Arabidopsis thaliana: one gene and its partners. The protein of the gene in region 2 interacts with the protein of the main gene of each other region in a pairwise test. Each region holds a gene or a part of one and is shown on either strand. Other genes may lie near its edges.

Region 1 (7,519 bases), on a different chromosome or scaffold from region 2:
ATTTTGAATACAGATTTCTCAAAGTTCTCTCCTTTACCATTAGACCCGTTAATGGATCCGACTTCAAAATCCGACCCGCGCCGTCAATTATTGGGGGTTTAAAAGCTTCCGACTTTCTTTCTTTCTCATCTATCACGGCGGCGTCGATGAAACGATCCGTTAGACCTCTCTTCAGTGCTCTTCTCTTCGCCTTCTTCGCCGCTACACTCATCTGCAGAGTGGCGATTCGTCGGAGCAGCTTCTCCTTCGCTTCCGCCATCGCTGAGCTTGGTTCCTCCGGTCTCATGACTGAAGATATTGTATTCAACGAGACATTGCTCGAGTTCGCCGCCATTGATCCCGGAGAACCTAACTTCAAACAGGAAGTCGATTTGATTTCCGATTACGACCACACTCGGAGAAGCCACCGTCGACATTTCAGCTCCATGTCAATAAGACCAAGCGAGCAACAACGCCGTGTGAGTAGAGACATTGCTTCCTCCTCCAAGTTTCCGGTAACGCTTCGTTCTTCTCAGGCTTATCGTTACTGGTCAGAGTTCAAAAGAAATTTACGGCTTTGGGCTCGTAGAAGAGCTTATGAACCTAATATCATGTTAGATTTGATCAGATTAGTTAAGAATCCGATTGATGTTCACAATGGTGTTGTTTCGATTTCGAGTGAAAGATACTTATCTTGTGCAGTGGTTGGGAATAGTGGTACATTGCTAAATAGTCAATACGGAGATCTCATTGATAAGCATGAGATTGTGATTCGGTTGAACAATGCGAAAACAGAGAGGTTTGAGAAGAAGGTTGGATCGAAAACAAATATATCTTTCATAAATAGTAACATTTTGCATCAATGTGGGAGAAGGGAGAGTTGCTATTGTCATCCTTATGGTGAAACAGTGCCTATTGTGATGTACATTTGCCAACCGATTCATGTTTTGGATTACACTTTGTGTAAACCATCTCATCGAGCTCCTCTGCTTATCACGGATCCGAGGTTCGATGTCATGTGTGCTAGAATCGTGAAGTATTACTCGGTGAAGAAGTTCTTGGAAGAGAAGAAAGCGAAAGGGTTTGTCGATTGGAGTAAAGATCATGAAGGCTCGTTGTTTCACTATTCGTCGGGTATGCAGGCTGTGATGCTTGCAGTGGGGATTTGTGAGAAAGTTAGTGTCTTCGGGTTTGGGAAGTTGAATTCAACCAAGCACCATTACCATACTAATCAGAAAGCAGAGCTGAAGCTTCATGACTATGAAGCAGAGTATAGATTGTATCGAGACCTGGAAAACAGTCCCAGGGCCATTCCATTCTTACCAAAAGAATTCAAGATCCCTTTGGTACAAGTTTACCATTGAATATACATATATACCATCAAGAGTTTTGTCATGTAGTTATTGTTGTTCAAGCGAAGAAGCTTGTTGGCAAGAGTGTCGTTTTGTCCAAGTCCCAAAGATTTTGCTTCAGATTGGGCAGTGAAGATGCAACACTTTCCCAATGGTAAGAGTACTCTTTACAATTTTTAGATTTGTGTTGTCACACATATTGAAATATATATATGGTATATTTGGACGATATTCTCACATCAATATAAACCAAAATCATTCAGATTGACGTGTCGATCGAAAAAGTTAATCCCACACGCAAGTTTAATACGTTTGAGTAGTACGTTTATTCATGCAAAACACAAAAGCGTGAATCCTTGTAACAACAAGAAGATCGAAAGCTATTATATGTAATGAAAAGAGAGACAATATAATAGGAAGAGTCTTTAATTGAGGATTATCGTACAATAATGAAGTGAAGCACACCAATTTTCTCTTCTAATACAAATACATGAGAGAAACAGAAAATTCACGTGCTTCACAAAATTTTAAAGAGAGAAACCATCTTTATTAAGAAGAAAACCCTAATTAAGATTGAAATCATACTTACTACTAATCACTAAGATAAATAGGGGTTTACTCGAGCCACAAAATGCTCTCCGACAAATACATCCCTCGGACAAAGAGAAGTTTTTGTTAGTGAGCATAATTAAACCTCCTTTTTTTCTTAAGGTTACTTATTTAGTAGCAAAAATCCCCTACCAAACCAAGAACCCTAATATCACATGCATATTACGTAACACACAAATACTCAAATCTATGTCTCAAACTAAAGCAAAATAAAATAAAAACAGACAGATGACACCGGGTTTCATGTAGACTTAATCGTAACCGTATCCAAAGGAAAAAGATCTAAATTTTAAAATGTTGCTTCATTTTATGTGGTAACTTTATATATTTTGATTTCGAGTCTAACAAAGAATTTCTACCTTTTCAAGATAGAAATTCTTTGGTAGACTTGAGATGTTTTGTGGCGCACAGTTTGAAGCAACATTAGAAAATTAGGATCTTACCTTCCACAGTCTCCCCGGTGTATCTAACAACATTCTCACTCTGTGGTGACGCATTCTGTATCCTCCTCAAAACCGTCAAACAAAAGAGACGGGTGAGGAGAATGTCCACTGCCAAAGGACCTAATGTGGTCCTTGAGAGACCTCTTATGCTTGAAATCTGATCCACATGTACAATACCAAAGCTTTCCGCAGTTTTTCTCATGGGTCCTCCAGTCGCCTTTCACAGCCAAGGCTTTGCCACATTTTCCGCAAGAAAAGGGCTTGGAGCCATGCTTACGTTTGTAATGTGTCTGAAGTGTACGGAAATCTTTCAGGGGCTTGGACCGCGGATGGTTGATGTTGTTCTTGCATCCCTCGGCACAGCAATAGCATGGCAGCCGCAGGATGGCTGCCGGTTGGATTGTGCCTTTCAACGAGTCAGCCCCTTTTCTGAACTCAGATCCATGTCCCCACATATGCATCTGTGTTTTGCATATATAAATTCATTAGACCATAAGAACTCTATTTTATTTTGAATATTATCAATTTAACATATTGATATTGTATGGTACCTAATAGACAATTATATATGATCTGTAGGACAGAAATTTCTTGTCCCATTATGTTTCTAAATAGTACTCGAATGCTTGTTCTAGTCAAGACTCAGGAGTGCATTTGCATTTAGGAGACTTATCAATAATACACAAATGTATAAAATTGTGCATATATTTATCACTGTAGGAATAGGGAATGGAATGGATATAAAAGGACTTGACGAAACTCTTGACCACGTATATGGTAATCACAATTTCAATAAGAAACCATATATGATGTAAGAAAAATGTGTTTTCTACTTAATTAACAAGTGGTATTGGGATAATGATTTTAATTTCGAACTAAAGTTGGGACGAAAGAAAATTTATAGTAAATGGTAAAGGAGAGAATCCTATGTAAAATATATAAACTTAGAAACCAATGATACTTAATTAGAAGGCTTTTTAATTACTAAGATCTTCATTAGGTTAAGTAATCGATTGCATATATTCAGTAAAAGTAGTATGATCATTGCTTTTTAAATTTTCTCCCCCTTTTTGGGTTTTTGCTGAATTATACTTTACCAAATCCCACTCCGTGATTATTCTTTTGCTTTTTGGCTTTTCAACCAAAAGGCAAGGCAAACAATGAAAAAAAGTCAAAAAGTTTTTCGAAGATTTCTCAACTAATCCAGAAGTTATATACCCATTCATCCTTCTCTTAATTTATCTATTGCGAATGATACACCAACCGCAATTAATTATCGTAATAACTAAGTCATCAATGTTCAACATCTTTAAATGACAAAAACTAATTTCCTTCCAACATTATGCATGTATGTATATATACGATAATATATTTTGTAGAATGTAAGATCATCATATACATATGCAGCAAAATTCTCACAAAAAGAAGTGTATGATCAATAGAAGGAATTAATTTACATGGTAATGTATGATCATACAATTATATAAACAATTATTTAACTGTTTTTAAACATTTATACACAAAGTACAATACATTACGGAATACATAATAATAATATACTTCTTTTTGTTTAAAATATGTTGTTAATTATTTTGTTATTAATGTGTTGTTGAATAATTAAGATATATATAAAGTTTTGTTTGCTGCGATATGATAAGTTTCCCTTTGAGGGGAAAATGTTATTCTTCAAAAACAAAATGAATTTATCGACCGTTTTTTGTTTTTTGCTAGCTTATATGGGAAAATAAGTAAATAACCATAAATGAATTAATACCCTATGATAATGGCAAAGGTAAAGTTGATATAGTGCTAATGTTTCTTTTTCTTGGTAAATAATACATTGACATATAGTAAGAATGGTTAACACATAATGCAAGATTTGTAGCTGATATGTAGATTATCTAACAAATCATATAGGAAAAAGATGATATTTAGAGAGAAGACGTACCTGCATGTTATTGTACCTATTGAATGTTTTGCTGCAAATAGAGCAAGCAAATTGCATTGGACCGACATGAATCTGAGCCGGACTTGGTATCCAAAACCTCTTCCCACATACTTCCACATCAGAATCAATTATCTCCTCATCAAACTTCATCTTCCTCCTCTTCTTCATCATCACCACACCATCTTCTATTATCTCTCTCTTGATGGGTTTCTTCTGATGATCGAAAGTTATATCAGAGCCATCCTCCGAGCTACCACGGTGGTATTTAGGAAATCCGATTTGGAGGGTAACCACATCATCCTTATTCTCTTCTTTGATATCCGAGGCTTGACTATTATTTTCCATGAGCTTGTTTAGAAGAGGCAAGCATTGAATAGACGTGTTGAGTGGTTCTTGTGGTTGGTACAAGAATAGAGATCGTTCCAACATGTTCATCTGACTCTGGTGGTGATTTGATCTTGATATAGCATCTCTTGTCTTCCCACGATATAACACAGATTTAGAAGAAGTAGTAGAAGATTGAGGTTTAAGCCATTCAATAAAGCTTGGGGATTCGAAACTTAAGCCTTTCGTCTCATAAGAATTCATCTCTCGCTTTCTCTCCTCTCTTTCACTCTCCCTCTCTCTCTCTCTCTCTACCTCCACACGAAGAAGGGTAAGACTAGTAGTATGAAAAGTTTATATATTAATATCAACCTACCTGGTGTGTATCGTAGCCGTTCGTCAAAATAGGTTCTCTCTTTATTTTTCTCCAATACAAAATCTTCTTCTTTAAAGTTTTGTTTTCTTTTCCTCCTACCCCCCAAAACGTATAGTGCAGAAATGTCGCACGTGTCTGTCTACGCGTTTACATCAAGAGGAAAAGAGTGAAATTTTCTTCACAAAAATGTGGTGGGTCTTACTTCACATAGTGAAAAGGAAACGCACAAGCGCAAGGCTTTTCAATGAAAGAGAATCCTAAGAATCATAGTCTTTTTTTTTTTCTTCTTTACCCTCATTTCCTTTCCCATTATTAAAATTTTGTAACATCTTAAACCAACAAATACGATATCCTTTCATCATATTATAGTCATGATTGTCATTTAAGTGCATATAGACCGGCGAAGACAAAATTCATCATTACATATCAAAACAACAATTCCAACATCATTTTAGCCGTCTTTTTAGGGACAAATGATAAAAAAAGGTAAATTGTTATAAAATCACGCGTTCACTTTTATTGACGTTGGATGATCCAAGTAGCAGATTACACGATATTGATGATACATACACTGTTTTTCATACGCAAGACTTTTCTAGCTAGTACTCTAATCCATGATTTGCACTTTATTTAAAGATATATGAAAATATTTATTAGCTTTGGAAATGAGTTCACTGATATTCTTTGATGCATGATTGGGTTCACGGGTCTATAGTTGATATGGCAGCCCACACACGTATATGTTTGCAAATGGTACTATAGAAAACTGAATCCAAAAAGTGTGAAACTACTTTGGTTGTATTTCATTCCCGTTTTAAATCTGTCGAAGCTATATTCATTCAGAAGTAATAAAGCTTAACATTAATCCAAAAAGCAGTCGCATTAGACATTCCCATCCTCACGGTAGCGTTAGAAAGACTGGAATGGAGCACAACAAGCAGATGAGATGACCTACACGAAGGAGTACGTTGACCCAAAAACTGTAATGAATTTACGTTAATTTTTGTGTTATAGACGAGGTTTTAGGACGTTGTAAGATTTTGAATACAAAGAGGTAGTGGAGTTTTGACCCATTAAGCACAAGATTTTTCTTAGAAAACAAAAAGGTTACCGCAAGTAAGTCAATACCTGAAGAATAAAATACTTGAAAGAAAAACCTAAGAAGAGTGAGTATTCATTTTAAGACGAAAATAGAAGCTGATTCAATGTATGTGTCATGTTGTGGTGGACCCTAAAACAATATTAACCGCGCAAAATTTCCGAATGGTAGTATAGCTAACCGTTGAACCGTATGCTACTATGCTTTCATTCACTAAAGAATTATGGTTTACGTCCCATGCGGTTCAAACACGGTATATACATATCTGGTCATATTTTGTGAAACCGGGTTTGAACAACTCACCAATACAATAGTACTACAATTCAAATTAAATTTTTCTTTTTGTAATTAAACTTCATTTTGGTATAATTAAAGAAAAAAAATGTTTCCTTTTGTTGACCGATACAATGACTGTATATTCAAAAAATTACTTTTAGACATCCAAATTATATTTTCATCTATCAATTACAATATTATGAAAATTATATATTTACAGATGCTAAATCAAAAACGGTACGTTTCACCTTAAACCCTAACCCTCCGAATGAGCTAGAGAGACACCAGCCCTTCTATTAAAAGTTAAAACCCTTCCCTCTTTACTTCTCCGATAGCTTTTTATTTTCCTCGTTTTTGCGCCGACCAATGCAAGGGAATCGCGACGGCTCGTGGTCACTACGCGCCTCCGCGTACGGTGGAAGCGGCAATGGAAACGGAGGGTATCTTCCTCAAACGACTCCTGTATTTCACAATTACATTGTCAAACAACAACAACCCATCAGATACAATTTCCAGACGCAGCAGAATCTCAATTTCCCTCATCCACAATTTGGCGGCGGCGCTAATGTAGAACTTATTCGAATTGATAAGGCCGTAAACAATACGCGTAAATCATTAATTGCTGCTGGAGACAACGTATCTTCGACTAGAGTTTCGCAATCGGTTTTAGCACAACTTCAGGCTGACACTTGGCGTTCCTTGGGGATATGGATGCAAGATGTTCCTTCGCTTCGCCAACTCATGGCCCTTGAAGGCAAGGTAAAGCTTAAAATTTTCTATATTGCAAATGAAACAGAGCCTATCTATTGCAAAGTTGATTCCTTTTACTTAAAACCTTTGAATCTTGTAGATCATTGCATTTATTCACTGCTTCATTGGCGCTAGAGGAATCGTGACATTGCATGATTTGGAAGTGGCAATATGCCAAAACGAGTTTGTTGGTTGTTTTGATGATCTGGGATTGGGACCTTTGCTGCAGCATCCACTTGTCTTGCTCTATTTTCCATCCGTCTATTGTTCTACTGCCCCAGTTAAGATCACTAGTGAGGAGATAATATCATTACTTGATAGCTATCTAAACACTTACGATATTGACGATGTTAAGCTCGATGA
Region 2 (7,921 bases):
TCATACTATATCCAAATTCAAAGGTAGAATAATATCTATAATCATAGTTTAAATGTATATAATTGATAGTAATATGAAGGGATATATATATATATATATATATATGTGCATGCATGTTGTAATTTGTTTTGTATGATTATTAGGAGTTACATTATGTGTGCCGGATAAAGAGAACCAAAAGATTAAGGTCTCTGGAAGTTTTAATAAGGAGAAGTTGTTGAAAAAAATCATGAAAGTTATTAAAGAATTGGAGATTCATGATGGGAAAAATGAAGAGAAAGATGAATTAATTCGGAAGAAACAAGAAGAAACTGAAATGGCGAAAATTATGATGTTGAATGATGAAAATGCCAACAGATGTACTATTTCGTAAAGTGTAGTTTGTTAAATGGTGATCGTTTTACAGGTTTTTAGCATTAAGTTTCATATCATTTTAAATTCAAATCATTTCTTTGGAGGTGGAGAGATTCTAGAAAGAAAAAAAAAAAAAAAAAAAGGATTGCATGAACTAATATCTTCACATTTCTCCCCATTTTGTAGTTTGCAAAATTATTATGTGTTCACTTTGTTTTTTAGTTGTGTGTTTTAAACTATTCACATATTTTTAATAAACTAATTTTCTCATCCATTCTAACTTTAATCTATAGATTAAATTGATCAATTTATTTAAGATTTACATTATAGTATATTTAATTGGTGAAGATAAATTTATATATAAAATTGATTACATTCATCTTTATGAACCAAAAAAAATAAATCCTAAAATCATCTTTTTAGTGAAAGAGGAAGTATATTAGATATAAACATAATTAAGATACTATATCTTTTCTTTTCATTTTTTTATTCAATTTAATTATGATTACACTATTTTATATTTATTAGGTATAGATAAATTCCCAAGTAAAGTATACTTAATAAGTAAAACTGAATACATTCATCTTTATGAAAGCAAACTATAATCATAATCATCTTATTTAGTGAGAGTAATTATTAGATAAGATTATAAGAACATAATGAAGATACTCTATTATTGTCTAATATTTTCTTAACAAGAGAACTCTCTTCTGTAGATAGAGTCTTTCAATGCCTTTAGGCTCTTTGGGGATATTTTGAAAAAAAAAATACTTGTATCCAATCTTGTAAAACCGGATTGGAATGTAAACCGGAAAGTGGTTCGGGTCACTGCATTGGTACGTTCGATCGTCAGTCAATGAGGCCATATATATAGGTCCAGGTTTAAAAACACTGCTCGTACCAAAATATGTCACACAAAGCTATGAAAGATACACAAAGAGATGTAATTGATTTTTACAAGATGTTAGATTATTGTACAACACGATCTCCATCACAATCCTAAACAAAATTACAAAACAAATACCAGTTTTATCATAATACTAATCTTTGCACAACCTTTGCCTTTGCCTTTCTCTTCACAATCTTAGTAAATATATATAGCTGTTGCCAAAGGACTTCTCGGCGGGAATTCTGATCAGTACTTAGAAGAAACCTTGGGTTGCATTTAGAGTGTTTGTATACATATGTTTTAGCCAACAGATTCTTACTCTCAAAACAGAGCTTCCCTTGGTGCACCGATTAAGTTAAGTGCGGTTGCTGCGATGTGAGATGGCATGAGTCCAGCTTCAGCTAGTTGATCAGCTGGTGCACCGTGATCAATGTATCGATCAGGCAGTACCATTGGTCTCCACTGTATATTCAAACAGTTGCAAATTAGAAACAGTATTTTTTGAAAAGACAGAAAAATATTAGAGAGTTTCTGGAAGTAATAAGTAACCTTGAGTTTGCCATCAAGAAGACCATCGAGAGCAAGAAACTGAACAACGTGCGAGCCAAAACCTCCAATGGAACCTTCTTCAACCGTGATCAGAACCTCGTGCGACTTAGCTAAGCTGCGAATGAGAGCACGGTCCAATGGCTTGCAAAACCGTGCATCCGCTACAGTTACGTTTAATCCGCGTTCTTCGAGCATTACAGCCGCTCCTAAACAGCTCTGAACTGCTGAGCCATAACCCAACAACGCAACTCTCTCTCCTTCCTTTAAAATTCTACCTTTCCCAATCTGAAATACACCCAAAGAGATTTTCTATCTCAAAATGATGAAGGAAGAGAGACATATTTGAGAGGACCAAAGTTATACCTCAATTGGAACACCTTTGTTTCCGGGAGGTAATGCAACTCCAATACCGTTACCTCTAGGGTAACGGAAACAAGAAGGACGATCATCAATCGCAACAGCAGTTGCAACCATGTTAAAGAGATCTGCTTCATCTGATGGAGCCATCACTATCATGTTAGGAAGACAAGCCATAAATGTCACATCGAAAGCTCCACAATGTGTCGGACCATCAGCTCCAACGAGTCCAGCTCTATCCATTGCAAATCTCACCGGTAATTTTTGCAAATCAACATCATGGACAACCTACAGAGAAGGCCACCATATACTCTATTAGTTTCTTAAAATGTTTTATTACAAAGTAAAATGATTAAGATGTTGAACTTGCCTGGTCATAAGCACGCTGCATGAAAGACGAATAGATTGCACAGAAGGGTTTAAGGCCTTCACAGGCTAAACCCGCAGCAAAAGTAACTGCGTGTTGTTCCGCTATTCCTACATCGAAACATCTTGTTGGGAAGCGACGTTGAAAGAGATTTAACCCGGTTCCACCTCCCATGGCTGCATGAATCGCAACCACATCTTTGTCTACCTCTGCTTCTGCGACTAATGCCTCCGCAAAGTAAGTTGTGTAAGATTGAGTCTTATTAGTAGTTTTGAACTGTCTACCCGTTGCTGGATCAAATTTCACAACACCTGAAAGAAAAATAATCAATATATATATCCCACTGCTTAGGAACTAGAGAAAACGTTATCTATCTAACTTGTTTTACCATGGTATTTGTCATCAGCTCTCTCCGCGTAAGGATAACCACGACCTTTCTCCGTCACCACATGAATAAGTACAGGTCCTGTGGTTCTGGTACTCTTAACTTCTTTAAGAATGGCTACCAAATCATCTATGTTGTGCCCATCAACTGGACCAATATAGTAAAGACCGAGTTCTTCAAACAGTGACGATCCAGTCCCGCTTATCATTCCTCGAGCATACTCATCTACCTTAGCCGCCAACTGATGCATTGGTCCGCCTATTTGCTTTGTCATACCCTATACGCAAGAAAAGCCAAAATTCTCATCAAGTCCATAAAGACCAGTATTCTTTACCATTCTAGAAAAGAAATGCAATAAACTTGCCTTTGCGACTTCTCTCAACTCTCTGAGAGCCGGGTTAGACTGTAACCGACTAAGAGCACTGCTCAATGCACCAACAGGTGGACTTGGTCCATCCAAAGTAGCTGTAGGTAATGAGACTTGCTTGTTGTCATTAAGAATCACAATCATATCAGAGTCTAGATATCCGGCGTTGTTCATGGCTTCATAAGCCTGTCCTGCCGTCATCGCACCATCACCAATCACAGCAACCACATTGTTGTTCTTCCCCTTCAAATCCCTTCCTACCGCCATTCCTGTAAAACTCATATATCTGATTCAGTTCTGTTTTCTTATTACAGTTTACTGTCTAAACACAACAACACAAGGCAAACACACCAAAGGAATGATTGATTGTATTACCTAAACCAGCAGATATTGTGGTTGAGCTGTGTCCAGTACCAAAGCAATCATGTTCACTCTCTCCTCGTTTGGTGAAACCAGAGAGACCATTGGTTTGCCTCATTGTAGGCATCTTTCCTCTTCTCCCAGTAAGAATCTTATGAGGATAAGACTGATGACCAACATCCCAAAGAATCTTGTCTTGTGGAGTATTGAAAATGTAATGAAGAGCCACAGTAAGCTCCACAACACCAAGACTTGACCCCAAATGTCCACCGGTTTTCGACACATTAAAGATCACGTCTGATCTCAGCTCATCAGAAAGTTGTTTCAGTTCCTGCAATAAGTTGTTACCAAATGCCACCAATCCATCAATTTGTAAGAAAGCTAAAACAAATGCATCAAAGCTAGAATCTTTACCTTGACAGAAAGATTTTTCATGTGGATTGGGTAGTTAATAGTGTCAAGTAATGGAGTTGGTGGTCTGTTTGAATAATATTCACCCTTCTCTGCAAGTGAAGCACACACTTTTGCTCTTCTGTTTGACTGTACCACAACACAAAACCCAAATCGCAAAAGCTGTCATTTTCTCTAATCAGTTCCCAGAAATCAGAACCAAAGAAGCAATATTATTGGTCTAATTTCACTATATTTTCCACAGATTTCCAATAAAGTAACTAAGAAAAGGAGTCAAATTTGTTTGACTTTTGTCAAAAACAAAGTAAACCCATTATTTAATTCAAGATTTCAGCAAATGGGCAAGCTACAAAATCTCATAGTTCTTAAATCAAGTTCCATGATGAAGCAGAGAAGAGAGAAGTGAACTTACATGGGAATTGTTGTTGGGTTTCAGACATGGTGATGGAAGATCTGTAACCAAAGATCTAGAAGAAGACAAAGAAGTTGATTTACAAGAATCAGTTGAAAGTCCTCCTTTGGTTATTATGTAAGAAGGAAAAGCAAATGCAGAAGAAGCCATTGGAGGTACTTTTTGAAGCTCAAGAAAGTTGAAAACTTTAGGAATGTAAGTAAAACATATAAGGATTTATAGAGAATAAAATTTAGGCAAATTTTGAGGTTATCAAAAACAGTAAAACAAATGAATAAAACGCACTTTCGAATCCCACTACAAGTGAAAGTGTGTGTTTAAATGTGGTGGTGACAATGGTGGTGGTGGAGAGTTGAAGAAGTATAAAGATGGAGACTTTAAAAAAATGGGGTGATGAAGTAAAACGACAAGAAAGCCAACTTCATGGATCACGAATTTTATGTAACCGTGCTGATGATATTAAAAAAAAAAAAGAGAGAGAAAAAAAGAGATGGTGAGATGGTTCGTCATCCGCAGAGAACTTGAGATTTTGGTTGGGCCACGTCAACCATGAAATCCAAGTTTTGGATAGATATTGATGATATTATTTATATACGTTAGTACATGTGTATATTGTTTGTTCCTTATTTCATTTATAAAGTTCTTTAAAAAGAAAATGAAAGAAAAGAAAATAAATAAATATATTCACGCATACATACCAAAGACGATAAAGGCAATATAATCTTTTGTGGTATAAAGAAATGGAATTTAAAATGATTATAGAAGAATTGTAATTTGATTTTTTTTTAATAAAAAAATTAACAAGTTTAGCAGGTACTGACAAAGAAAAAAATCTTTACAGTTTTTGATAAAATTGGAAACGTATATTTGTATACAGAAAAAAATCCTACTTTATATATTTCTATATATATATATAATTTCACACTATTATCTTCAATGATATTCCTCTGTTTCTACAAGAATAATTTTTAGATGTTTTACAAGAAAAATTTTTAAAAATAGCTTTTACAGTTTGTTATTTTTATTAATTTAATAATATTAATTTTACTTTTTTCTTTGTTTTTGTCAACAATTTTCTCCTCTTTCTATCGGTAACAAATGAAAGTAAATAATAATGTTGATATAAACATCAAACTATTAGAAACAAAAGGAGTATTTAATATAACCAAGATAGTGCGGTAGTGTCGTAACTCGTAAGTGTATGATTTGGGTTAGTAACTTAGTATTATCGATCTTATTACATTAATAAAGTTTAATATCATATTAAACAACTACATAGATTAAATTTTATGATATTATCACATTATTAAATGAGCGAGAATCACGTTACAAATCCGACAAAACATATAATATTTGACATTCTTGATTATTGGGTTTCAATTGAGTCAAATATGAATAAACAAAACTTACATGAAAGTTTAAGTTTAAGTGTTTAACTAACGACAGTTCCATCACAAAAAGAAAAATTGTAATCACGCGGTTCATTTTATAATATATCAAAACTTATTAAGAAAACAAGCATGTTAAATTGATATGTTAAATTTTTAAATATTGCATTTTCAAAATGATATGTTATTTTTAACTAATTTTTAATGGTGGTTTTTCGATTTTCAATTAGTTTGAATATAACAGTTGGATAAAATTTTGTCGAAACTGCTTGAAATGCAAGATGACAATATTATCAGCTTGTCAGAAATACGTATATGCCAAATTTTCATCATAACGTTTTTTGGAAACTCTCAGATTCAAAGATATTTCTTGAATCTTCTGACAGACAAACTATTGTTTGATCATAATAAACCGACAAAACAATTAATGTATATGCACGTATACATCATAAATATACAAATACGTATTCTCTACCAAAACATTGTAATAGAAAATCGCCTAAAATGTACGAGGCATTCAAATTACTATGTTATTGTTGAAAGCATACCATATTGACGACTTAGTGAATATGACTAAGTAAACTAGATCAATAAACACAAAACCTAGTTCTCAAACTTGATTTTTTCATAAAAAAGTTGTCTTATCAATAGATTGAGAGGTTTTCAAAAAGTTCAAAATATCAAAACGAATAGAGAAGATCTCGAGAGATTGGATAGTTGTGCGAATGCACTCTGATAAACCATTCTAACAACATACAATCAAACATGTTACTAACAACATTTAGGAGGAAACAGGTTCATTGATCACTCGAATGTCACCTCTTTATCATTTCCTTGTATTATCAGTGATCAACTTCACTTTTTGGAGAGGTTCAACCCTATTCCAAAAGGTAACTGTTTTCCCTTCATCTCACCATGTATATCATCATCTACTTCATATGACTTCTCTACTGATTCTAGAACACTACCATAAAAAAACATTCTCATTAACCTACCATTATATCCGTTCACATTGACATCTTCCAACACAACAAATTTGTATCTTCACAATGGAAAGAATAATGAAAATTACGAGTAGAAGTTGTGTTCTGGAAAGAGGTTCGGCTCAAATATTGGCAAGACCCGGTGCTAGAGCGGACCCAAAAAAATTAAGGGTTATTGGAAAAAAAATATTGGCCTATGATTATTATTAAAGAAGTGTGGTTTCTAATTATAGAAATGTTACTTTTAAGAAACTTGGATATTTCCATATTTATTTTTTAAACCAAATTTAGAATTTTAAGGTATATTTCTTGATTAGTGGTTCTGTTTTTTTAGATAACTAAGAATATTTTTAATTTTTTAAATATAAGTAGTTTTTTTTTTTTTTTTCAACACAACTTTGCTTTATTAACTTGTACCAGAATAATCAGCATGTTGTGCTTCTGCTATACAACGAGGGATGTAAAAATGAGAAACATATAATCATAATTAGTAGCTATTTGTTTTTCAAAAAAGTAGAACTTTTTGTATGAATTAAATAAAGATTTTTTTTTGGACCATATCGTCTAGCACTCCTAACACATGTGTTAAGTCGGGCCTGTAGGACCTATGGAGCTCAATTGATCACAAATTTCTCTAAACTCACGAAGATAATTAGGCAAGAATTCATTTTATCTCGAATCATTTGCAATTTACATCAAAGTTCAAGATAAAGAAACTAATTATTTTGTAAAGATATCATGTATACTCATGTGTGTGTTGATAGTGATGACTGAACTTTCCGAAAAAACGTGAGAAATTACTGTCTTTCTCAAAGGTTCTACTTTTTATTTTGTAAACCTTGAACCTTTTTGTCTAGAACTCACAAGACTCTTATAACATGAATGTCTTTAGTTTCTTATAATTTGTTATCAAGCTTTCTGTCTAAGACAGAAAATCTTATTGTGTTCTAACTTTGTGTAAACATATCTGTATATTTGTGTTAGAATGAGATTAAAAAGGAAATAATGGAACCATAATTATATATGAACCCAAATTCACTTGTTTTATCGAACTAATTAATAAAATGTTGCTATCACAGTTTATTTGCAAGCATGTTTT
Region 3 (8,744 bases), on a different chromosome or scaffold from region 2:
TTTAAGGAACAAAGAGTTTTTTTTTTACACACGGGAGGGACACGCACGAGATTTTTTTTGTTAAGGACGCGGTTTCTTTAAATGCAAATAGCTTTTTTCCTTCTAATATTAGTTTCTTCTTATCTGAAGTTTAATTATCTTGCTGTTTTTAGTAAATTATTATTTGACCATGGTTCAAATAATAAACTCATGTGTATCTAAGAGTTTAGTGATAATGGCAATGTAAACGTTCAAAGATATGGAAATTATAAACGTTTTAAAGAATGTCTCAAATGATAAGACCATGATCAATTCGGTGTTCTCCGTAAGCCTGGTTACTTGACAACGTAATCAGGTACGTAAAATAGGACAAAGACACGCCGGAGAGTTAGACTTATTATTGTTTGATGTTGATATCATGATATGTAGTAATCATATCGCATTTTACTCTGCTAGGATTGGATATGATCAACATCACTAACATATTCGAAAAAGAATATCAAGTGGACGAGTACGAATTCTACAACTTTACCATTCGAAAGTTTACCGTAAACTCTAAATGAAAATGTTTTAATAAATTTACATTGAATTACAGTTTAACAAAACCAACTAATGGTGGTATATATGATGGTAATTAGTTGAAGATTAGTTGTCTTCGGAAAAAAGTTACTAACTTAAAACTTGGAACCATGCATGTATTGCGATAATGAATGAGCATATAAGGTGGAATCTTTTGAAATGTAGAATAATCTCAAGCATCTTTCTTGGTTTCTTCTTCAGTAGTCAAGAGCAATACGCGTGGAATAACCCATACGTTTTCTATTTTTGCTTATTCTCGAAGGCGATTGGTTCTCATTTTCTCGATCGAATCATCCTTTTAATTCAACGATAGCCTCACGTCGCGTGGTCCTGACGCACTATCCATATTCTTTGCCACTTTATTCTCCTTCACGGAACATTTAAGTTAAACGCAAATATACACGTTAGTCCATATATTGGAGGAGACCATATTCACAAATTTTGATATATAACACAAAAAAAGTTTACCTGATTTTTCTTCTAGTACTTGATCTCATCACTCAACTACTTGCAAGTCTTGAAACTAATCATCAACTCACCATTCAGAATTTGTTTAGCAAAAAAATCACTCAATGATAACTAAAAACCCAACAAACATACACGATCATATTTCAAACGACACCATTGCCAATGACTTAAAAGTTTTTGACCAATGAAAATTTTAGCGTTGAGTATTTTGAATCACGTTCAGTTGCTCATCGTTATTTTCAGTAACTACAAAATGAACACAATTTAATCGTTAGTCGCTGAAAATTAGAAAACGAATATGACATAGTCATTAATGTTAATTACCATTAGCAAATACGAAATGAACATAATTTACATTAGAACCAAATAATTCTTTCTATGAAACTATCCGAAATCCAAATTCCGGATGCATTACAAGTCAACAGGTTTAGAATCAAATTACTGTAAAACAACCTTATCAAGGACTTTTTTTTTTGTGTTTCATCAATTGGTAAGTTTACTTTAATAAAATTGCAATATTAATATATTTATATATAATTCTTTGACAACATATCAAAATATTTTAAATTTGAAATTTGTATACATATTTCCCTTAACTTTTGTTTGTTTATATCCATATTTGGTAACTGTACAATGGGGATCCACTTTTGAATCAAAAAACACCACACTGAAACAAAAATAAAGAAAAGAAGAAAAACAAGTGAACCCATATCCATGTTCTGTCTGAATCCGAGTTTACTTCTTCTTAGTTACAGAGGAGGAAAAAAGGAAAACCTAAGCGGAAAGGGAATATCCAAAAAAAAAAAAAAAAAAAAAAGACAGAAGTATAAGAAAAGTATCCTGAACATGATAGGTCTCTCTCCCATCTATAACCTCTGCAATTTCTCTCGACCAAAACCCTAATTTCAGGTTTGGGGTTTTCCTTCTTTCACTGTAAGTACGAGCAATTATTTTCATATATATATGTACCTATATATATATACACACTTATATACTTGTTGATGAGCCTCTCGAATTCCCCAATCTTAAACACTCTTCTTCAATTCTACGTTCGATTTTAGCGATTTCGGAGTTCTCTTCTTCTGTCTTCGAATTTGTACGCACTTATTAGTTCTATACATATATCGATCGATATAGCATGTGTTTCTAGAGCTCTTAGGTTCAGTGATTGATCATGTGTGTGTGTGTGTTCGTTGAATTGGGGGATTTAACGGGTTTTGCTTACAAATATTGGATTTTGGGATTGTAATTTGGTTGATCTCTCTCTCAAATTCGAGCAGGAGTGTATAAGCTACCAATTTAGTTTTCTTTCCCTTTAGTGAGTGCTCAATTTCTGATTTTAGTTTGAAAATCTAGTGTTTTGACAATGCAGGTCAATTTTGATGAAACTTGTGATTCAGTGATTAGAATGAATGCTAATGAGCAAACTCGATCCGCCAATGGCATTGGCAATGGCAATGGTGAGTCTATTCCCGGGATTCCAGATGACTTACGGTGCAAGAGATCGGATGGTAAACAGTGGAGATGCACTGCAATGTCCATGGCTGATAAGACTGTTTGTGAGAAGCACTACATCCAAGCAAAGAAGCGGGCGGCTAATTCTGCTTTCAGGGCGAACCAGAAGAAAGCGAAAAGGCGATCATCGTTAGGCGAAACAGATACGTATTCGGAAGGGAAGATGGATGATTTCGAGTTACCAGTCACCAGCATTGACCACTATAATAACGGTCTTGCCTCTGCTTCCAAGAGTAATGGTAGACTAGAGAAGAGACATAATAAAAGCCTGATGCGGTACTCGCCCGAGACACCGATGATGAGGAGTTTCTCTCCACGTGTTGCAGTGGATTTGAATGATGACTTGGGTAGAGATGTTGTAATGTTTGAAGAGGGCTACAGATCTTATAGGACACCACCATCTGTTGCTGTTATGGATCCGACACGAAACAGATCACACCAAAGCACCAGTCCTATGGTAAGTTTCTTGTTTCTCATTGGTTAGACAAAGAACTTGTACACCCATATGTGTTTGTTTGCTTATAAGGATTAAAAGTAACTGGTTTTCTGTGTTGTAGGAATACTCAGCAGCAAGCACAGATGTGTCTGCAGAGTCTTTGGGGGAAATCTGCCATCAATGCCAGAGAAAAGATAGAGAGAGAATCATTTCTTGCCTCAAATGCAATCAAAGAGCCTTCTGCCACAATTGTCTATCGGCAAGGTGTGCTTTCTTTTCTTTTCATTCTGTTTATATCAGAATTCTATAAACCTTTGGTAGAAAGAGTTCGCGGTACTAATGATGTCTCATGCATTTTAAGGTACTCGGAGATATCACTTGAAGAAGTCGAGAAAGTTTGCCCTGCATGTCGTGGCTTGTGTGATTGCAAATCTTGCCTGCGTTCAGATAATACAATAAAGGTGTGGTCTCGTGTTATCATAAAGATTCAAACCAGTGCTACCTATTTTGGGGTTTGAAATTTAGGACCATGAGATGATTATGACTCTTTGTGAAAAATTGCAGGTTCGGATCCGGGAAATACCCGTTTTGGACAAGTTGCAGTATCTTTATCGTCTATTATCAGCTGTCCTACCAGTCATAAAGCAGATCCATCTTGAACAATGTATGGAAGTTGAACTAGAGAAGAGGCTTCGTGGTGAGACGAGTTTTTGTTTACAGTGACTATTGATGAATTATATATACTCGTAACATTTTTTGCGGTTAACACTAGTTTGTTCTACTCTATAGAAGTTGAGATTGATCTTGTCAGGGCAAGATTGAAAGCAGATGAGCAGATGTGCTGGTACTTGTGATCTATCTTACATGCCTTTCTTCTTTTGACTTAGTACTGCAACTATTTCTTGTTGGCACTTTGTATTATCGTACATGACTGAAGTTTTGTTTCTTGCAGCAACGTGTGTCGGATACCAGTTGTTGACTACTACCGTCACTGTCCGAACTGCTCATATGACCTTTGCCTGAGATGCTGTCAAGATCTACGGGAAGAGTCTTCAGTGACGATTAGTGGGACTAACCAAAACGTACAAGATAGAAAAGGAGCTCCCAAACTAAAACTAAACTTTTCATACAAGTTTCCTGAGTGGGAAGCCAACGGTGATGGGAGCATCCCTTGCCCTCCTAAGGAGTATGGAGGCTGCGGTTCACATTCTTTGAATCTTGCCCGCATTTTCAAGATGAATTGGGTTGCAAAGCTTGTGAAAAATGCTGAGGAGATTGTTAGTGGCTGCAAATTATCTGATCTTCTGAACCCTGATATGTGTGATTCAAGATTCTGCAAATTTGCTGAGAGAGAAGAGAGCGGTGACAACTACGTGTACAGCCCGTCGCTTGAAACGATTAAAACTGATGGAGTAGCTAAGTTTGAGCAACAATGGGCAGAGGGTCGGCTTGTTACTGTGAAAATGGTACTTGATGACTCATCTTGCTCTAGATGGGATCCTGAGACTATTTGGAGGGATATAGACGAGCTTTCGGACGAGAAACTGAGAGAACATGATCCATTCTTGAAGGCCATTAATTGCTTGGATGGTTTAGAGGTACATTTCTTCTTATCTTCTTATCTTCTTCATATTGTGAAGTCACAGATTCAGTAATGTTCATAACTTGATTCACAGGTTGATGTAAGACTTGGGGAGTTTACAAGAGCATATAAAGATGGAAAGAACCAAGAGACAGGTCTTCCGCTATTGTGGAAGTTAAAGGACTGGCCGAGCCCAAGTGCTTCCGAGGAGTTCATTTTCTACCAAAGACCTGAGTTTATCAGAAGTTTTCCGTTTCTCGAGTACATTCATCCCCGGTTAGGCCTTCTGAATGTTGCAGCCAAGTTACCTCATTACTCGCTCCAAAACGATTCAGGTCCAAAGATTTATGTGTCTTGTGGGACGTACCAAGAAATCAGTGCTGGCGATTCATTGACTGGTATTCACTACAACATGCGTGACATGGTACATTACTCAGCTCTTGGATTATAAGTGATCACATTTGTCTTATTTTGGTTGATAAGGGAAACTGGTTATATGTTAGGTCAACTGAGATTATTGTTAAAATATATAATGATTGAGTCGTTGAAACTGTTAATCAGGTATACCTATTGGTGCACACGTCTGAAGAAACAACATTCGAAAGGGTGAGAAAAACAAAACCTGTTCCAGAGGAACCTGACCAGAAGATGAGCGAAAATGAGTCACTTCTTAGCCCTGAGCAGAAATTAAGGGACGGAGAGTTACATGATCTATCACTTGGTGAAGCCAGTATGGAGAAGAATGAACCTGAGTTGGCGTTGACTGTGAATCCAGAGAACTTAACGGAAAACGGTGACAACATGGAATCTTCTTGCACATCTTCATGTGCAGGAGGAGCCCAGTGGGATGTCTTTCGACGCCAAGACGTCCCAAAGTTGTCCGGGTATTTGCAGAGAACATTCCAGAAGCCTGATAATATCCAGACTGATTTTGTAAGCCGTACCTGCTAATTCAAATAAATGAAGTGTGTAAAGTCTTGTATGTGGAATGATTGAGTTTCCTAGTTTGTTTACTCTGGTTTCAGGTGTCACGCCCGTTGTATGAAGGATTGTTCTTAAATGAACACCACAAGAGACAACTAAGAGACGAGTTTGGTAGGAAAAACAAACATTCTATTCCCTATTCTATTTCCAAACACTTAATCGCTTGGAAACCTGAGGGATGACTCTTGCTATTGTTTCAGGAGTTGAGCCATGGACATTTGAGCAACATCGTGGTGAGGCTATCTTCATTCCGGCTGGATGTCCGTTCCAAATCACTAATCTTCAGGTAAATTTATTTCGTTGCAACATTATTCCATTAAGTTTCTTTTCCCTTGAGCTAAACTAAACTTTTTTCCCATGTATACAATTCTCAGTCGAATATTCAGGTGGCACTTGACTTCTTGTGCCCTGAAAGCGTTGGAGAGTCAGCAAGACTAGCTGAAGAAATCCGGTGTTTACCAAACGACCACGAGGCAAAACTTCAGATTCTAGAGGTAACAAATCTTTGATTCTGCCTTCCCTTAGAACAAACCATTAACCATCTCAGTGCCTTCACTTCTAACTCTTGGAAATGGTTTGGGTTCTTAACATCAGATTGGAAAGATATCATTATACGCAGCTAGCTCAGCCATTAAAGAGGTTCAGAAACTGGTCTTGGATCCAAAGTAAGTAAAAAAGTATTGACACCAAAGCTAATATAAAGAGTATGAAGTGAATTTGAACTGACAATTTTTGAAATTTGGTTCCTTCGTTATGGCTGCAAAAGGTTTGGAGCAGAGCTTGGATTTGAAGACTCTAACTTAACCAAAGCAGTCTCTCACAACTTAGACGAGGCAACCAAGCGGCCGCAGCAAAACAGCTGCACTTAAATCAGTCAAGATTTGTATAGTAGTATAAAAATCATTGTTGTGACTTTAGTTTAGACGACTACTACTACTATTCAGGATTTGTAATGTATCTATGACTGTGTATATCATGCTTCATATAGTATATTCATAACCATCATTATTCCACATAATTTTTTCTACTACTAGACCATATGAAAGTTACTTCAACGAACTCCTAAGCAAACCAATAATAGAAACATTACTTCTGTCTAATAATGGAAGTAATAAGAATAACAAAGGAATAAAACCCTTTGTGTTAATATCGCTCTTCTGTACACACTTATTCTTCAGCATACAGCCAGGCCAATCTTCTCACATCCCGCGATCAAAACTTTCAGACTTAAGTCCGTTGAGCTCCTTAGCCACGCCTGAATGGAAGCTTCAATACAATCGGTGGAAGTTTACGGTATTCAGTTAGAACCGGCCTTGACTCCTGTACTTGATCCAGAGCCTTACTCTCAGTTCTTGCTTCATTGAGAAGATAGCTAGGCTTTGAATCCTCTATTTGATCCAAGGGCTTACTTGTTGGTGATTTCTTTGTAAAACTGCTTCTATCTTCTCCTCTGTGCTCCAAGTCTGCACTCCCATTTCTGTTACATGCTTTAGCTGAGCGCTTTTTCTTCGTTGAACTTTCATGTTTTCTCGGTTCTGGTTTAGTTGTGCTTTTCATTCTCTTGGTTATAAGAAAGTCGGATTCCAGAGCTTCCAGAGCCCGAGTGGTCAATGGTCGCTTTCTTGTGCTCTGTCTTCTAGGACCATCTGTCTTAATTTGTTGGTTGTGTTGTTGTTCAGATGAACCCATTTCTTGAGAAGTTCCCAGATCATTGGAAGGAGATCTATTGTTTGAGCCTGAAATGGAAGGAAGCTCAAATACTTGTTTTTGTTCCAGATCACTGGAAGCTCGTTTTTTGTCCAACTCTGACACTGAACAGATCCCATTTGTTTTTGGTTCTGCCGAAATGAGTTCATGGGCAGTTCTTATTTTCTCTGGTGAACAGTTCTTGTCGACACCAGTGTTGGAATTTAATCCGCTTGGTTCAATCGCTGTCGTTTCTTGAATCTCAACAAGCGAAGAAGATAGCCCAGTTCCAGTCTTTTTTGATTGATCAGACTTTAAGTTCATATGCTCAACCAACGGCACAATCTCTTTGTCCTGATTCATCTCTTCACAAGTGCTAGTTTGTTGTTGGACCACACATATACTTTGCTGCTCTGATTCAAGACAAATAGTCATTTTTGTGTCATTATCACCTGGTAAATGTTTGGACACTGGACTCTCTCTGGAAATGCAAGCACTGAGCCGTCTGCGTTTCAAATATGGTGCAGAATCTACAGCATAATAATTAGTTTCTGCTCGAGGGGTAGACCGAGGCTTAATAACCCTCTTTGATGGATCCTTAGCCTTCTCTAAAGTCTTCTCTTCCTTTATACCAGAATCAGCCCCTACATGACCCCTTCTTGTGTCATCACTTGGTAAACATCTCCATCTCCTAAACCCAGATAATTTTTCGCAGTGGTCCACACTCGTATCAACAATCGTGAACCGCATTGGGTCATCCACATGGTTCTTGGCATCCAGAGGCCTCACTTGAGACTTTTCCACATTCTGACTGTCCAGAGAATTTTTAAGCACAGAAGAATCTTTAGCTTCTAGACGAGCCTTTGGCTCAGAAACTACTAAACACTCTGCATTCAGATTCCGTAAATCACACAACTTTCCTCCAGTAGCCAAACTAGTGTCCACAACAGTGAATTTCATTCCCAGAGTTCCACGGTTAGAACATGGAGACCTGAGGTAACGGTGTCTTAGACTATCAGACGGGGAAGACTCTTCATCTGACTGGTCAGAAGGATTCTCTGCAGCCACTCCTCCTGTTTCATTCTCAAGAAGTTCAGGCTCTGACACAACCTTTGTTAGAATATCACTGACGGAATCAAAGTAATGATCTCCTTTGACAAGCTCTTGTCTTGAAAACTTTTTCACGCCAGGGACAATGAAAACAATGTAGTCCTTAGATTTGAAATAGCCTCGGTCCTCGGGCTGCTGTGAACGCCATCCTCTGGCTAGCAAACGCGGCCATACAGCGCCCCAGAATATATCATTGCAACGGGCTTTGCTCAGACGAGAACAGCCAGTTAACTGATTTATTATGCCAGCCGATGTGAGGGAATTGTAATCCCCTTCTCCAGGGACCAAAGAAGATTTTGAAGAAACAGTGAACCATGGTTTGGTCTTCATTGGGGTTGATGTAGGAACCGTGAGATCTTCTTTTTCTTTACCAATCGCCACAGCGTCTACCAGAAGCCTGAGACC
Region 4 (5,871 bases), 4.6 Mb from region 2:
CATTCAACAGCAGCTAGTCAACACGGTTTCTTCAGATAGATTCATATACAAGCTTGTGAGTGGTCTTATCAAGTACCAGATGGTTATTTGCTACTTCTTGTACATCGCAGGTTTGTCTGTTTCTTTTTTCTTCACAAAAACAATACTCTCTTTCTTGATTTATTAACAGCTTAAGTTGGATTCAGGTCTCATATGGTTTATCCTTACATTGAAGAATAAGATGTATAAGTATCAGTTTGGGCAATACGCTTGGACACATATGATCCTTATCGTTGTCTTTACTCAATCTTCTTTCACCGTCGCCAATATTTTTGAAGGGATCTTCTGGTACAATGGACTCTTATATATATCCACTGAAGCATAATAGTTTTCCCGAGTGCTAATTTCTTTTAAATATGCAGGTTTCTTCTACCAGCAGCACTGATTGCTATGAACGATGTAGCAGCTTACTTCTTCGGTTTCTATTTCGGGAAAACTCCGCTCATCAAGTTGTCTCCAAAGAAAACATGGGAAGGTTTCATCGGAGCATCAGTTGCAACTATAATCTCTGCATTTATTGTAATAACCTTCTTCTATCATTTATTCATTCGTTCGTAACTCTTTCTTTTGGTCTCAAGACTGATAGATTATTATCTGCTTCGTACAACAGTTTGCTAATGTCTTAGGCCAGTTCCAATGGCTTACATGTCCAAGGAAGGTAACAAAAAGTGATATCTCCATCACAATATTTTGTCTCGGCCTTTACTTCATCCTTGTGTTGCATATCTTTTGCAGGATTTATCAACTGGTTGGCTTCATTGTGATCCAGGCCCTCTCTTCAGGCCAGAGTATTACCCATTTCCCTCTTGGATTACTCCATTTGTAAGCAATTAACTGTCCTCTCGTGAAAACCAGCCGATGATGTTGTCTTGTTTTGAAACTGAGCTCCGTTGTGAACTTTGCTTAACAGTCTCCATGGAAAGGGATCTCGACCCTGCCTGTCCAATGGCATGCTTTTTCTCTCGGTCTATTCGCATCCATTATGGCGCCTTTTGGTGGCTTCTTCGCAAGCGGTTTCAAAAGAGCTTTCAAGATCAAGGTTAACACATTTTTCAAACATTAAAAGGTTTTGTATCTACAGATCCAAGAACAAATATTTACTAGTTTATGTCGCTTTGACAGGATTTCGGAGACAGCATACCAGGACATGGAGGATTTACTGACAGAATGGATTGCCAAGTAAGAGTCACTAACGTCGAAAAGTGCAATATGATCTTTGCATCGTTTTAAACGAATCTTGTTGCCTAAATGCAGATGGTTATGGCGGTTTTCGCATACATCTACATCCAATCTTTCATTGTTAATCGGGACTACAGTGTCGAGATGATCCTAGACCAGGTAAGAATCATCATATAAGCCAAGAATACGGAGGCATTGTAAATAATTGATTGTATTATACCTGCAGATATCGAGGAGCCTGGGACACGAGGAGCAGAAAATGCTTTATGAAAAGCTCGGAGACATTCTTCAACATAAGTTGCAAGGGAGGTTTTAAATAGTGAGTGCAAGTTTTGTGACTCTGTTTTCAGCTTCTTTCTCTATGGTTAGTTTCTGGTTGTATCAGACCATGTAAAACCTTGATTTGTATCTGATTTAACTAATCAAACAGAGACTTGGTAATAGTGTGCGAGTAGAAGAGATGTAAAATGATATTTTCCTCGTTCAATTATAGCATGGAGATAGAGAAAACAGACACAGAAGCAGGATTTCCCCTGCAAATGCCATGTCCAGCAACTTATGGGAGATCTTGTTCATCTAATGAATAACCAAACCACAAAAGAAAACTATGACTCGAAGACTCGAGAAGATGTTAATGGAAACATAGAACCGTAACAAAATTTATGAAAACCAGCTGACTTCTTCTTAAGCATCAGACTCTTTCTTTTCTTCTTGGTTCTCTCCTCCCTGGGTAACACCAACCTCAGCTGGTCTTATAACTCGGTCATACAGCGTGTATCCAGACTGCACATATTGACACCCATCATTACTAATTGGTATTTAAGACTATACAATATGAAATAAAGAGACAAAGAATTGAGCAAGCTTTATATATTTACCTTCAAGACATGAGCAACTGTGCCTTCTGGCTTAGAAGCATCAGGGACTTGGAACACTGCGTTATGTCTGTTTGGATCAAATGGCTCGTTTATAGGATCATACTTCTCCATACCAAATTTCTTAAATACCTGCAGCGGCACACATGTTTAACCGGTCTCATCTGCATTGCTTACTTAAGGTCTTATAATTACATTTCTCGATATTTACCTCAGCAAGCTGTTTCTCAGTCATCTCCACTCCTTCTAAAAGGGTCTTTAATAGTGGAGCTGCTCCAGCAGAATCTTCTGAGGTGTCAAGCTTTGAGAAGCTTTCTTTGACAACCGAAGAAGCTCTTCCAAGATTATCCGCCACATCCAATAGGCTCTTTGCAAAATTCTGCATACATATATAGTGAATATATATATTTCAGAAAACTATTATATGAAACAAAAGCTGCAAACCAAGTTCTTAAAGACTAACCTGTACGGCATACTTTTTGGTGTTTTCAGCATCACGTCTTGTTCTGTCCATGACATTCTCCATCTCAGCATAAGTGCGAAGAACTTTGTCTTTCAACTGCTTAATCTCTTCTTCCTTCTCAGACAGTAGCTCTTCCTTCTCAGCTACGAGCTTCACCAAATCATCGGCTGACAATTCATCATCATCACTCTCAGAATCTGATTCAGAAGATGAAGATGCAGCTCCTTTAGCACCTTTCCGCTTTCTTTTTGCAGAATCTGTCACAGAATCTTTAGATTCAGAGTCAAGACCTGGTTGGTTTGCCTCAGCTGTAGGTTTCTCTTCACTTGTCTTTGAGGCCTCAGTGTGGGTCTTCTTCTCATCTGATTCAGGCGAGGTAGAGGAAGAAAAATTGAACCTTTGCAGTGCAAACGAATCCATCATAGACATCTGAGCTGGAACAAGCTGCCCCCAAAAAAAAAAGTAAAATGGGTTAAACTCAGTGAAATGATACAGAGCAAAAACCTATAGAGAATCTAAACCATTCTTCTATTGTTTATTCATATATCTGAAGATTCAAACATAAGAGATCAAGGAAACAGTATCAGAAGATAGCAATCATTTCTAGAAACTCAAATGAGGGAAAGCCTTAAACCCTAACAAAACCCTGAATTGCAATTTCGGCATGAATAGTGATTAATTTGAGTGAAAATCGAACCTTATGCGAGAAATCGTGAGCTAGGGAGTGAAACCGGCTCGAGAAAACAGGAGTCTGATTCCTCGCCGGAAGAGTGACGGCGGATAGAGATGAGCGTATGCCCGCGTTGCGGGTTACTCGCGACAAAATTCTCAAAACCAACATCTGGAGATCCACCACAGATGAACAAACAGAGATCAAGAAGATAAGAGAATCGAATCGAATCGAAATGTAATTGTTCTGAGGAAATTGTTAATTTGCAGAGGCACACAGAGTGCTTGGTGGATGGATAGTAGAATTCACAATTCTCTCTTTCGGGGTTTTTAGTAATTTACGTAAATAGCCTTACCGCTGCACGAGCGGGCTGAGGCTAAAATGATCGCTTTGATTCGGCGAGCCTGTGAGGGTATTATTGTCATTATAGCAAATGGGAGATTTTGAAAGCTAATTTGAGAAGCCTCTAGAAAGAACCAAAGGTACTTGTATATCTTTGGGACAGACGAAGTCCATTTATCTCCTGGGCCTGATTGGTACAGTCCTACCAAACAGAACAAGCAGCAGTATGTTACTGTTGCTAAGTGGTTTGGCTTTTTTAGTTTCATTCTTGTGTTTAATTAAAATTGCTGGATTAATATAGAGGTTGTGTAGATTTGACGTCATTTGGATGGGAGAATTTGGAAATTAATGTTCAACTACTTAATCTATAATTCAACAAACGATAAATGACCACTTAATTGCTAATAGCCTCTAGTTAATTCAAAACGCAAACCTATGTTATGAACCACTTGTCAATAAATTTATAAATCTTTAGTTGAGACTCAAAAAACAAAGTTACTTTATCGGAAATGTCACATTTGACGCATGAGAGACACTTTCTTGCCGTTACTTGTTATTGTCGTTGCAACAACCAAAACTATGGTTGAACTAAAAAGCCCCAAAACGTGCGACACAGTTCACCCAAAGTGCAAATAATCTTTACATTCAAGACTCTAGACTCAGTAAGCAATAAAAACAGTAAGTGATACAAGAACAGAGAGTTGAGTTTTGAGCGTGAATCCGGTAAAAAGGAAGATGCGTTACATATACATCTGAAGCTTGCAATGGTACGAATCCTTCTATTTTAAAATATTCTGTCTTTCTCTCTTTTTTAGTAGCTATAAATACGGCTCTCTGCTGCACAACTATTATTGAAACTCTCAATCATTTTCAGCTCATTACTCACCTCAACTAACTCTCTGTGGCCAAAAATAAACAGAGACATATCAGACTAAGGAGTATTTAATAAGCATCATCTAACAACAGGCCAAGGTATTAACTACACGAGCTAAATCTGTTTTAGTCAGGTTTGATAGAAGATACCTATCTTTCTCCATCTTAAATGCTTGCTCCAATTGTTCTTCCCAATTAATCGTGAGGTTCTTGTTTTGCAGAAGCAAAAAATTGAAAAAACTTGTGTAAAAAGCATGCAGCGAAACAGAGTTCTTGCGTTCTTGTTGCTAGCAGCTCAGCTCTTGGTGAAGATACCTGAAACGTGTGCAAAATTTCCCGCACTTATCGTATTTGGTGACTCAACTGTTGATTCAGGCAACAACAACCAGATTTCTACTGTTCTGAAGAGCAATTTCCAGCCATATGGCCGGGATTACTTTGACGGCAAAGCGACTGGGAGATTTTCAAATGGCCGGATTGCACCAGACTTCATTTCTGAAGGTTTGGGACTCAAGAACGCAGTCCCTGCCTACCTAGATCCAGCATACAACATTGCAGACTTTGCCACTGGTGTCTGTTTCGCTTCAGCTGGAACCGGCTTAGACAATGCAACCTCTGCCGTGTTAGTAAGTCAAGCATAGTTATATATCTTACAACATATATATATTCTACTGTACTGGACTTAGATTTCTGACATGCTTTCTCTGAATTGTCATCGATTTCTAAAGTCTGTAATGCCGCTATGGAAGGAAGTGGAATACTACAAAGAATACCAAACCAGGCTAAGAAGCTACTTGGGTGAAGAGAAAGCTAATGAGATTATTAGTGAATCACTTTACCTGATTAGTATCGGAACCAACGATTTCCTGGAGAATTACTATCTTCTTCCCCGCAAGTTACGGAAGTACTCAGTGAACGAGTACCAATATTTCCTGATAGGAATAGCAGCAGATTTCGTGACAGATATATACAGACTCGGAGCTCGGAAGATGTCTTTGTCGGGACTCTCTCCTTTTGGATGCTTACCCCTGGAAAGAACAACTCAGCTCTTTTATGGAAGCAAATGTATTGAAGAATACAACATTGTGGCTAGAGATTTCAACATCAAGATGGAAGAGAAAGTCTTCCAGTTGAACAGAGATCTGAACGGAATCCAGCTGGTGTTTTCAAATCCATATGACCTTGTTTCAGAAATCATATACCATCCTGAAGCATTCGGTTAGTACAAAGTTCTAACAAAAATATTTTCCCAACCATTGCAACCCTGCAAAGACATAGGGCTAAGTTTCAATATGTACCAAATGCTCTTAAATCAAGAATTCTTATGATAATATTCCTATGTGCATTGCAGGTTTCGAAAACGTAAGAAGTGCGTGTTGCGGAACGGGATACTATGAGATGAGCTACTTGTGTGATAAAATGAACCCATT

Evidence for each region.
Region 1: the proteins of CLA1 (region 2) and WIP3 interact in a two-hybrid assay, tested with the Arabidopsis thaliana proteins (one study listed by BioGRID).
Region 3: the proteins of CLA1 (region 2) and AT1G09060 interact in a two-hybrid assay, tested with the Arabidopsis thaliana proteins (one study listed by BioGRID).
Region 4: the proteins of CLA1 (region 2) and AR192 interact in a two-hybrid assay, tested with the Arabidopsis thaliana proteins (one study listed by BioGRID).

The regions. Positions count from the first base shown.
Region 1 is NC_003070.9:2,608,262-2,615,780, forward strand, and holds WIP3 (WIP domain protein 3), read right to left. Parts: upstream 5,117-7,519; 5' UTR 4,920-5,116; coding exon 4,332-4,919; intron 2,845-4,331; coding exon 2,419-2,844; 3' UTR 1,735-2,418; downstream 1-1,734. Other genes in the region: AT1G08280 (Glycosyltransferase family 29 (sialyltransferase) family protein), read left to right, coding at 147-1,343; NVL (no vein-like protein), read left to right, coding at 6,513-6,643, 6,742-7,165, 7,257-7,519. UniProt on the Arabidopsis thaliana protein: Probable transcriptional regulator.
Region 2 is NC_003075.7:8,880,898-8,888,818, reverse strand, and holds CLA1 (Deoxyxylulose-5-phosphate synthase), read right to left. Parts: upstream 4,995-7,921; 5' UTR 4,602-4,994; coding exon 4,452-4,601; intron 4,169-4,451; coding exon 4,043-4,168; intron 3,960-4,042; coding exon 3,644-3,959; intron 3,538-3,643; coding exon 3,266-3,537; intron 3,179-3,265; coding exon 2,905-3,178; intron 2,828-2,904; coding exon 2,520-2,827; intron 2,438-2,519; coding exon 2,156-2,437; intron 2,078-2,155; coding exon 1,793-2,077; intron 1,706-1,792; coding exon 1,565-1,705; 3' UTR 1,152-1,564; downstream 1-1,151. Other genes in the region: AT4G15562 (superoxide dismutase 1 copper chaperone-like protein), read left to right, coding at 1-23, 144-373.
Region 3 is NC_003070.9:2,918,903-2,927,646, reverse strand, and holds AT1G09060 (JmjC domain protein JMJ24), read left to right. Parts: upstream 1-1,890; 5' UTR 1,891-1,959; intron 1,960-2,321; exon of another isoform or gene 2,322-2,382; 5' UTR 2,383-2,392; coding exon 2,393-2,998; intron 2,999-3,098; coding exon 3,099-3,241; intron 3,242-3,338; coding exon 3,339-3,438; intron 3,439-3,541; coding exon 3,542-3,674; intron 3,675-3,766; coding exon 3,767-3,821; intron 3,822-3,929; coding exon 3,930-4,575; intron 4,576-4,653; coding exon 4,654-4,983; intron 4,984-5,120; coding exon 5,121-5,492; intron 5,493-5,584; coding exon 5,585-5,654; intron 5,655-5,743; coding exon 5,744-5,829; intron 5,830-5,917; coding exon 5,918-6,037; intron 6,038-6,137; coding exon 6,138-6,208; intron 6,209-6,309; coding exon 6,310-6,412; 3' UTR 6,413-6,583; downstream 6,584-8,744. Other genes in the region: AT1G09050 (arginine-glutamic acid dipeptide repeat protein), read right to left, coding at 6,789-8,744. UniProt on the Arabidopsis thaliana protein: Binds histone H3 but seems to have lost demethylase activity probably due to its inability to bind iron Fe(2+).
Region 4 is NC_003075.7:13,483,164-13,489,034, forward strand, and holds AR192 (Co-chaperone GrpE family protein), read right to left. Parts: upstream 3,696-5,871; 5' UTR 3,398-3,695; coding exon 3,254-3,397; intron 3,001-3,253; coding exon 2,557-3,000; intron 2,473-2,556; coding exon 2,305-2,472; intron 2,226-2,304; coding exon 2,097-2,225; intron 2,002-2,096; coding exon 1,903-2,001; 3' UTR 1,676-1,902; downstream 1-1,675. Other genes in the region: AT4G26770 (Phosphatidate cytidylyltransferase family protein), read left to right, coding at 1-110, 186-327, 402-558, 650-697, 775-861, 950-1,078, 1,162-1,218, 1,294-1,377 and 1 more; AT4G26790 (GDSL-like Lipase/Acylhydrolase superfamily protein), read left to right, coding at 4,696-5,067, 5,170-5,659, 5,793-5,871. UniProt on the Arabidopsis thaliana protein: Essential component of the PAM complex, a complex required for the translocation of transit peptide-containing proteins from the inner membrane into the mitochondrial matrix in an ATP-dependent manner.